2 linked regions of the Macaca fascicularis genome follow. The protein of the gene in region 1 binds, or shares a complex with, the protein of each later gene. Links are inferred from orthologs where the notes say so. Each region holds a gene or a part of one and is shown in the gene's direction. Other genes may lie near its edges.

Region 1 (5,188 bases):
GGGTCTTTAATGGATATTAACCCCACAGACTCCACTTCCCCCTCTTAACAGCTGCATAATATTCCATAGCAAGCAGGTGCCTTCCTACCCTTGGCCAGTCCCGCCTGATGGGCATCGGGTTGTATCCAGATGTGTTTGTTTTTCCCTCCACAGATCTCTTGGTCCATTAGTGGAGAGAACTGAGACATCCTTTCTAAGGGCTGCATTCCTAGAAGGGGGATTGCTGGGTCACGGAGTTCCAACATTGTTGTTGTTTTTTTTTTTTTTTTTTTTTTTTTTTTTGAGACGGAGTCTCGCTCTGTCGCCCAGGCTGGAGTGCAGTGGCCGGATCTCAGCTCACTGCAAGCTCCGCCTCCCGGGTTCACGCCATTCTCCTGCCTCAGCCTCCCGAGTAGCTGGGACTACAGGCGCCCGCCACCTCGCCCGGCTAGTTTTTTGTATTTTTTTTAGTAGAGACGGGGTTTCACCGTGTTAGCCAGGATGGTCTCGATCTCGCGACCTCGTGATCCGCCCGTCTCGGCCTCCCAAAGTGCTGGGATTACAGGCGTGAGCCACCGCGCCCGGCCCCCAACATTGTTAATGTTAATAGATTCTGCCAAATTACCTTGCAAAAAGCAGGCAGCAATTCAAGTTGCAGGCAGCGTGCGGACGCCTGTCTCCCCTCATTCCAACTCATAGCCAGCACTGGCTGGAGTCGATCTGGGAGTGCTGGGGGTAGGGAGAGGTGGAGTCACTGCTTAATTTGCATGACTCTAGTTATTCGTGAGATTTTTTTTTTCTTCTTCTTCTTTAAATCGCATTTATGCTTATTGTTTATTAGCGTTTCCTCCCATCCTTGCCAGAAGTCTCTGGGGACTGCCTTTGGGGGTCGGGTGAGCTTGTCCCCTGCGAAGAGGGCCCAGGGTTAGGGTCTGGAAACTCCAAGGCTGCACTTGCCAGCGGCCTCTTAAGACCACAGTGTCCGCGTGGTTTCTGGCTCGCATTCCCCAGAGCCCCAGGACTTGTCCAAGGTCAGGGCACCGCGGGTGCCCCCGGGCTGGGCCGCAGCCAGACTGCGCCTCCCGCGCGCCTTCGCTTTGCACCAAGATCGCCCAGGAGATGCCTGCGGGCACCTTGAGGAAGGTCGGCGGCTCCGGGCCAGCTCACACTGGCCGGGGGTGGGGTGGGGGCAGTACCTGCTGCGGAAGCCCTGAACGCTTTCGCCCGGCCCCTCGCCGCCGCCGCGGGGGCTGGCTGGACTAGGCGGGCAGGCTGGAGGATGCGGATGAACCCGAGCGTCCTCGAGTGCCCAGAGGCTCTCCGCCTCAGTTTCCCGCTCGGAGGCAAGGGCGTGCGAGGGGATCCAGATATTCAAGGATCTGAGGTTTCGGCCTCGAGGTCTTGGGCGGGGGACTGGGCAGGCTGCGCGGGGTCCCAGCGGGGAGACGGCTCGGGTGGGCGGCCGGGGGTGTCAGGGGCTGCGGGCGGCGGACAAAGCGGCGGCACCACCCTGCGGCGCGGGCCAATGGAATGAATGGGCTATAAATAGCCGCCAATGGGCGGCCCTCGTTGCGTCCCTTAAGAGCCGCGGGAGCGCGGAGCGGCCGCTGTTCGCCTGCGTCGCTCCGGCAGCTGCCGACGGACGGAGCGCCCCCGCCCCCGCCCGGCCGCCCGGTGAGTGGGCCCGGGGGCCGGGGGCGTCGGCGCCGGGGCTAGGGGCGCTGCGTGCAAAGGGGGCGCGGGCGCTGCGGCGTCACGCGCTCCGGGCGCGTTGCCTGGAGCGCGCGCCGGACCGGCCGGGGGTCCCGGGCGATGATGGCGCTTCCCGCGCGCGCTGCGGACCCCTCTGACCTTGGCCGCGTCCCGGGGGCGCCGAGGGGCCCGGCGGCGGGGGCCTGAGTGGTACGCGGGAGTCCGGGAACCCCGGCTTGCCGGTCCCTGCTGACCCCGCGTCTCCCCGCAGCCCGCCGCCGCCATGCCCTTCTCCAACAGCCACAACGCGCTGAAGCTGCGCTTCCCCGCCGAGGACGAGTTCCCGGACCTGAGCGCCCACAACAACCACATGGCCAAGGTGCTGACCCCCGAGCTGTACGCGGAGCTGCGCGCCAAGAGCACGCCGAGCGGCTTCACGCTGGACGACGTCATCCAGACAGGCGTGGACAACCCGGGTACGCGACCCCTCGGGGCCGGGGTCCCGGCGCCCCCTCCCCGCGCGCAGCCGCACGGTCCTCAGCAGCGCGCTCGGGCCCGGCAGTGACGTCACTGTCTCCGTCCCGCGCCCCCTCCCCTAGGCCACCCGTACATCATGACCGTGGGCTGCGTGGCGGGCGACGAGGAGTCCTACGACGTGTTCAAGGATCTCTTCGACCCCATCATCGAGGACCGGCACGGCGGCTACAAGCCCAGCGATGAGCACAAGACCGACCTCAACCCCGACAACCTGCAGGTGCGGGGCGGCGGGCGGGCCGGGCGGGCCGGGCCGGGGTCTCCGGGCGCTCACTCCCGTCTCGCCCCCCAGGGCGGCGACGACCTGGACCCCAACTACGTGCTGAGCTCGCGGGTGCGCACGGGCCGCAGCATCCGCGGCTTCTGCCTGCCCCCGCACTGCAGCCGCGGGGAGCGCCGCGCCATCGAGAAGCTCGCGGTGGAAGGTAGGGGCCGGGCGGGCCAAGGGTCGGCGGCGGCTGCGTGCCCCTCCCGGCGCGGTCCCCGCCCGCTTTTGTTTATGTCGCCTGGGAGCGGCAGCCGCCGCCGCGCTCTTATCTGCGCGCCCCTGGGTTCAGTTTCCCGGAGGGACCGAGGGACGGAGGCCCAGCCCCGCGCCCACAGCGGCCTGGGGCCCAGGGAGGGCGGGTCCTGGCGCGGGGTCACCGACTGGGACCGTCGCCCGGGCCATGAGGACTGGACGCCCGCAAGTCTGGGCGGGTGGGGGCCTCTGACGTCCCCCGGGGTGAAGCACGGGGGCGGGCGGGTCCGCGCTGTGGGCTGGAGGGGCGGGCGCGGCAGCCGAGCGTCCTGAGCGCACGCCCCGCAGCCCTGTCCAGCCTGGACGGCGACCTGGCGGGCCGGTACTACGCGCTCAAGAGCATGACGGAGGCGGAGCAGCAGCAGCTCATCGACGACCACTTCCTCTTCGACAAGCCCGTTTCACCTCTGCTGCTGGCCTCGGGCATGGCCCGCGACTGGCCCGACGCCCGCGGTATCTGGTGCGTGTCCCTCTGCGCCCTCTCGCGGCGTCCGCCCTCTCCGCCGCCTCCCCTTTCCCTCTCGCCCCCCTTGCCGGGGTGGGGCCCCTCGCGGCAGGGAGGAGGAGGAGAGGAGGAGGAGGAGAGGGAGGAGGAGGAGGAGGAGGAGGAGGGAGGGGCCGGCCGCGCTCCGGGTCTGGGTTACGTGCTGCGCCTCCCGCGCAGGTGACCTTGGCCGAGCAGGTGCGTTAAGGTACTGGGCCCAGGCCCCTGGGGGTTCAGGACTCAGCCCCTCTAGAGACGTGAGGTGGGGGCGGGGCCCCTGGCGCCTCTGCCCGACGCCCCTCGGGAGCTGGAGCTCCTTGTTTTCTCACTCCTCAGTCGCTGGGATTCTACCAGGGGCTGGTGACGCAGAAGCTTCTCCGGGGGCAGGGCTCCTACCCCCACTGTGGGGGGCGGGCGGGGCTGTCCTGGCGGTCCCTGGCCCTGCCCCACCTCAGACCACTGCACGACGTGATGGCAGCCGGGGTTCTGCTCACTGTGAGGCGTCTCGGCCCCGCCTGCCCCGTGTTGGGCGGAGTCTTGGCAGCAGCCCCTGCTCCAGGGCACGGTTGCGAGCAGCACCTCGGGGACTTGGGAAGTTCCTTTGGTCTGGGGACGGCCTGGGGCTTTTTTCTGGATATGCCCTGAGACCAGCCCTCCCGCAGGCACAATGACAATAAGACCTTCCTGGTGTGGGTCAACGAGGAGGACCACCTGCGGGTCATCTCCATGCAGAAGGGGGGCAACATGAAGGAGGTGTTCACCCGCTTCTGCACCGGCCTCACCCAGGTGCCAGGGACGGGGCAGGCCCAGACCCCAGGGCTCCAGCAGGGATGTGGGTGCCCCATCAGTCCCCCTGGGGGATTTCTGGGACTTGGGAGTCTCAGGGCCTGTGGGGGTCTCGGGCAGGCCTTCTCTCTCATACCCTTTTCTCCCTCTGCAGATTGAAACTCTCTTCAAGTCTAAGAACTATGAGTTCATGTGGAACCCTCACCTGGGCTACATCCTCACCTGCCCATCCAACCTGGGCACAGGGCTGCGGGCAGGAGTGCACATCAAGCTGCCCCACCTGGGCAAGCATGAGAAGTTCTCGGAGGTGCTTAAGCGGCTACGACTTCAGAAGCGAGGCACAGGTGAGCAGGGCGGGTGCTGCAGGCTTCCTGTTGGCCTTTGGACAGCCCTGTTTCCTCCGCCCTGACCTGCTGTCTCCCCAGGCGGTGTGGACACGGCTGCAGTGGGCGGGGTCTTCGACGTCTCCAACGCTGACCGCCTGGGCTTCTCGGAGGTGGAGCTGGTGCAGATGGTGGTGGACGGAGTGAAGCTGCTCATCGAGATGGAGCAGCGGCTGGAGCAGGGCCAGGCCATCGACGACCTCATGCCTGCCCAGAAGTGAAGCCCGGCCCACACCCGACACCAGCCCTGCTGCTTCCTAACTTATTGCCTGGGCAGTGCCCACCATGCACCCCTGATGTTCGCCGCCTGGCGAGCCCTTAGCCTTGCTGTAGAGACTTCGTCACCCTTGGTAGAGTTTATTTTTTTGATGGCTAAGATACTGCTGATGCTGAAATAAACTAGGGTTTTGGCCTGCCTGCCTCTGAGTGGTGCCTCTCCTTTCCCGGGGGGAAGGGGAAGGGCAGCAGCCAGGCCCCAGGAGTCTGAGTCCTGGGCCTGCCGTGGGCCTTGCCTTCCGTGAGAAGGGACAGAAGCCAGCAGGTGGCCACTCTGTTCTGCCTGTCCCACCTAGTCCATGGGCCCCTTTCCTCATGTCTATTGGGCTGTGCAGGCAGGAACACTGGGGAGAATGAGGGAGGAGCTCCAGGCCTGAGCATCTGAGGGCATTCAGGCCTGGGTGTGGAGCCTAGCACGTTCCTTGGGCTCATCCTGCAGGGTGGGGGAGGTAGGGATAGTGGAGGTGGGGGTTGAGCTCAGAAACTTGAGAGCTTTCCGGTCCCTCCAACTGGGTTCCTCCTCCAGTCTTCCAA
Region 2 (4,611 bases), on another chromosome or scaffold:
CAGTTTCTGCTTTCATAAAATGAGTATTCTGATACCTACCTAGGTCAGTCCACCCCATAACTCAATAACAAACCACCCCAAAACTCAGTGACATGATAACAGTAACCATTATTTCTTGCTGATGTGTGTTTGTGTCAGCTCATCAAGGCTGGGCCTGGCTGGGCTTGGCTCCCAGCTGTGGGTTGGGTGTAGCCCTGCTGCACATCTCTTTCATCCTTCTTGGACCACTGGCTACCTGAGGAATTATTTTCTCTTGGCAAAACGCTGGAGCACAGCAGGGCAAGCCCAACCATGCAAGAATACTTCCAATCTGTCCATGTCACATCGGCTAACATCCCACTGGTCAAGTCACATGACCACATCCAAACTCAAGAATCAAGAGAAGTACATTTTGTCAACTAAGAGTAGTTGACGACTGAAAATAAATATATTAAAGTTAAGCCATTCGATCTTTTTTTTTTTTTTTCAAAACTAAGAACTGACTGTGGACTGGACACAGTGAAGTAATGGGTTAATTACCTTATGATATTATATGACTCAGACTTGTTAATAATTTAGACAAACCACAGTTAATCTGAGGTAAAACTGTAGCTTGATGATGAACTATAAATGAGTTTCTAACTTTGTAGAAGGAACCTTTCTGTAATGTGAGTATGTGGTGAAAACTTTTTGTTTTGTGTTACCAATAGCTGTGTTGTTGTATTTCATTTACCTGGATTTATGTACAAACACCTAAATGCTGGTTTTATTACTATTATTATTATTATTATTTTTTTTTTGAGATAGGGTTTCGCTCTTGTTCCCCAGTCGGGAGTGCAGTGGCGCGATCTCGGCTCACTGCAACCTCCGCCTCCCGGGTTCAAGCAATTCTGCCTCAGCCTCCCGAGTAGCTGGGCCTACAGGCATGTGCCACCACGCCCGGCTAATTTCGTATTTTTTTTTTTTTTTTGAGACGGAGTCTTGCTCTGTCGCCCAGGCTGGAGTGCAGTGGCCAGATCTCAGCTCACTGCAAGCTCCACCTCCTGGGTTCACACCATTCTCCTGCCTCAGCCTCCCGAGTAGCTGGGACTACAGGTACCCGCCACCTTGCCCAGCTAGTTTTTTTGTATTTTTTAGTATAGACGGGGTTTCACTGTGTTAGCCAGGATGGTCTCGATCTCCTGACCTCGTGATCCGCCCGTCTCGGCCTCCCAAAGTGCTGGGATTACAGGCTTGAGCCACCACGCCCGGCCAATTTTGTATTTTTAGTAGAGACGAGGTTTCACCATGTTGGTCAGGCTGGTCTCGAACTGCTGACCTCAGGTAATCCATCAGCCTTAGCCTCCCAAAGTGCTGGGATTACAGGCATGAGCCACCGTGCCTGGTCTAAATGCCGGTTTAAAAATGGTAGTCGTGCTGGAGGAGCATGCGCATTTTCTATTGGTTGTTTCCTATTGGTTGCCTTTTGCCCAAGTTCTGTACCTCAGCCTGTCTTTCCCCCCACTTGTGTCTGATACACTTGCATGATTTTTGCTTCATGTGACAATCATACCCCTCTTGTGGCATTGACAAAACTACTTTTTCTAAGTGTGATGACTGAGAAAATAAGGTATTTTCTCTTGCCAATTGGACATTTAATCTTAGGTACGAATAGTAAAGTAAGAAATGACATATTCTTTTCTTTGATCAAGACAAGACTTGGCAAATTTTTTTCAGTAAAGGACCAGATAGTAAATATTTTAGGCTTTGTGAACCATGCAGTCTCTGTTGGAAGTACCTAACTCTGCTGTTTAGCAGAAAAGCAGTTGTAGACAGTATGTAAATGAATGGGCATGGCTGTGTTCTGGTAAAACTTTGCTTATGGATGCTGAAATTTGAATTTCATAAAATTTTCATGTGTCACAAAATATTCCTTTGATTTCTTTTAAACCATTAAAAATGTAGAAACCATTCCTAGCTGCTGTGCTGTACAGAAGCAGGTTGTGGTCTAGATTTGACTCTGTAGGCTGTTGTTTACTGACCCTTTTGTCAAAACTATGATAGAGCTAGGAAATCTACGAAAAAAAATTAAATGTCAGGAAAAGGAGGGTTTTTTTGAGGAAAAAAAGTTGGGTGAAACTGGTATTTTTATTACAAATATTATTAAATCCTATGTGCTACTAAATACTTACATTTAAAGAGCAATTATATTAGTTAATAGGTGCATTTCAATTTCCTAAATAAAGTACATTTAGGCTTCCTAAAAGGTACATGCAGTCTATTTCTTTTCCCTTGCAGTTTCATAATTTCCTTTTAATTGTCCCACAAGATAGAGACACTTGTGAATATGTTAAAATTTAATAATTGCTTCTTAAAACTTAGCAATTCGGGCCACGCTGACTTTAAAAAAATTGAGAAATTTCATAAACAAACATAAAAGAACTTAAACACGTGTGCAGTTGAGCAAAAAGTGATGATGATGAGAGTATTGCCATGTGACTGCCTCCCCAGGTCAGGAAATGGAAAAATAGCACATTGCCGGCTCCTCCAAAGAGTCACCCATCCCTCCCCTTACCATGCTTTCTAGAACACAATCCTGTCCTCTTCCACAGGATTAACCATTATCCCAATTTCCTTGTTTTCTTTATGGTTTTACTTTATATATTATGTCTTCTGAAACAATATGGGGTAGTTTTGCCTAATTTTGAACTTTAAATTGATGTAATCATTCAGTGTGTATGCTTTTGGATTTTGCTTCTTTTGCTCAACATTATTTTTGCAAGCATCACCCTGGTAGTGCTTGCCATTATAATTTGTTGGGTGTAATCTTTCTGCTGAAAGATTATACCAAAGTTTATTAATTCAGTTCATTGTTGATGGACATTTGGTTTGTTTGCAGTTTCTATTATGACCAATGCTGTTGTGAATATTCTTGTATATGTATCTAGATGTATATATATCTAAGAGTCAGATGGCTGAGGCATAGGCGTAGGCATTGTCAGCTCTAATAGATACAGTCAAACTGTTTTCCTGAGTGGTTATACCATATTACACTCCTACCAGTCGTGTGGCAGGTTTTTTTTAAAGTCAATATAAACATCTTAGTGTACCATCTGACTTTGAGCCAGGTCAACTTTGTCATAGTACTGGAATGGTGGCTGAAAAACAGCCCCGGGGCACTGTCGCTTTGCACCCCTTACTCTATTTCCCCTCCTTCAGGGGTGGCTTGTGAACATCATCACGGCAGATCATGTCTCCCCACTCCATGAAGCCTGTCTCGGAGGTCATCCCTCTTGTGTAAAGATTTTATTAAAGCATGGAGCTCAGGTAAGGGCAGCTGAAACAACATCTTAGAAACCAAGAATGAAAAATGACTATGTATATCCCTACTGAATAGCTTCCAGCACTTTTGATTAGGCTGATTTGAAATATGAAGACAGTTGTTTTTTAAGAAAATTATGTTCATCAGACTTGTTTGCTTTAGTGATAGGTGGATGCAATACTAAATTTTTAGTCGTGCTTACAGTCTATATCATTTTCTTTATCACACACTACTAATAGTTGTTAGACTTCTGTCTTCATTGTTATGGCTGGAAGGTAATGAAATATTGTGGAAAGCACACATTTGCCTGGGGTGGCTAGGATGTCTGAGGAGACAGAAAATCTATGTGGTCATTCACCCTTTGGCTGGCAACTTGGACTTGTTCACATGGTAGCAGGGATTGCAAGAGCAGCAAAAATGGACCTGTTTGGTGTTAGGTAACTGAATGGTGGGGTGGGGGATATTATGGGCTTGCTATCTTCTGGCAACAGCAAATGCAAAGTCCCAGAAGTGATCGTGAGCAATTTTTGTATCTTGAAGTCATTCCTTATGGCAGGAGAGTAGAGTAGGTGAGAGGATTCAGAACCGGAAGCAACCCTGTCCATGCCAAAAAAAGAACGGGCTTTGTCCCAAGATTAGTAAAGAGCCAGAGGTGAGTGCATTGCCAGATTTATATTTGGGCTAAGAAAACATTGAAAACTTGGAAACAGGGAAAGTGGCAAGGTGAAGCAAGAGACACCTAGGGTACAAACTTGAAAGAGGTGCTCGTTCTCAGGCTCCTGCACTATTTGTGTGATTCCAAAAATGAATATGTCCTTAAATTTTTTACCGTGGGCAACTTTGTGCCTCACTCTAGTCCTGGCCCTGCTTGGAAGTAGAGTTTGAGAATGAATTCATTGTCTTCACAATATCATTGCTTAAAAGAGTCACCAAATAATCATTTAATGATACACAAGAATGTGTCTGTGCTTGGCTTTTCTATTCACTGTGTAATTATAGCCCAAACACTGTGAAGTTAGACATTAACTTCTAAATTTGTCTGATTTCCAACATTAGAAAAGATAGCCTCAAAGATTATAGTTTTATGACCCTATAGGACATTAACCAGTTTTTATATTTTTATTTTTTTTATATTTGTACTCTGTCGCCCAGGCTGGAGTACAGTGGCATGATCTCAGCTCCCTGCAACCTCCACCTCCCGGGTTCAAGTGATTCTCCTGCCTCAGCCTCCTGAGTAGCTGGGATGACAGGCACACGCCACCACACTTGGCTCATTTTTGTATTTTTAGTAGAGACGGGGTTTCATCATGTTGCTCAGGTTGGTCTTGAAC

The links.
Region 2: the proteins of CKB (region 1) and ASB9 are in contact, whole or in part, in a cryo-EM structure (PDB 6V9H), measured with the Homo sapiens proteins. The link is inferred for Macaca fascicularis from reciprocal best matches to the Homo sapiens genes CKB and ASB9. Residues at the interface, in NP_001814.2 of Homo sapiens: Asn63, Pro64, Gly65, His66, Pro67, Tyr68, Ile69, Thr71, Arg130, Arg132, His191, Val198, Ser199, Pro200, Leu201, Leu202, Leu226, Trp228, Glu232, Ile238, Met240, Asn286, Arg292, Gly303, Lys304, His305, Glu306, Lys319, Arg320, Gly321; in NP_001026909.1 of Homo sapiens: Leu25, Asn27, Pro28, Leu29, Met30, Gly31, Asp32, Ala33, Val34, Ser35, Asp36, Trp37, Pro39, Glu42, Ile45, His46, Trp60, Ala67, Asp68, His69, Glu75, Ala100, Asp101, Trp102, Val111, Asp133, Leu134, Ser165, His166.

The regions. Positions count from the first base shown.
Region 1 is NC_088381.1:171,693,877-171,699,064, reverse strand, and holds CKB (creatine kinase B-type), read left to right. Parts: upstream 1-1,588; 5' UTR 1,589-1,653; intron 1,654-1,942; 5' UTR 1,943-1,954; coding exon 1,955-2,147; intron 2,148-2,270; coding exon 2,271-2,630; intron 2,631-3,013; coding exon 3,014-3,185; intron 3,186-3,871; coding exon 3,872-3,995; intron 3,996-4,149; coding exon 4,150-4,339; intron 4,340-4,420; coding exon 4,421-4,599; 3' UTR 4,600-4,795; downstream 4,796-5,188. UniProt on the Homo sapiens protein: Reversibly catalyzes the transfer of phosphate between ATP and various phosphogens (e.g. creatine phosphate).
Region 2 is NC_088395.1:15,048,519-15,053,129, reverse strand, and holds part of ASB9 (ankyrin repeat and SOCS box protein 9), read left to right. Parts: intron 1-3,177; coding exon 3,178-3,285; intron 3,286-4,611. UniProt on the Homo sapiens protein: Substrate-recognition component of a cullin-5-RING E3 ubiquitin-protein ligase complex (ECS complex, also named CRL5 complex), which mediates the ubiquitination and subsequent proteasomal degradation of target proteins.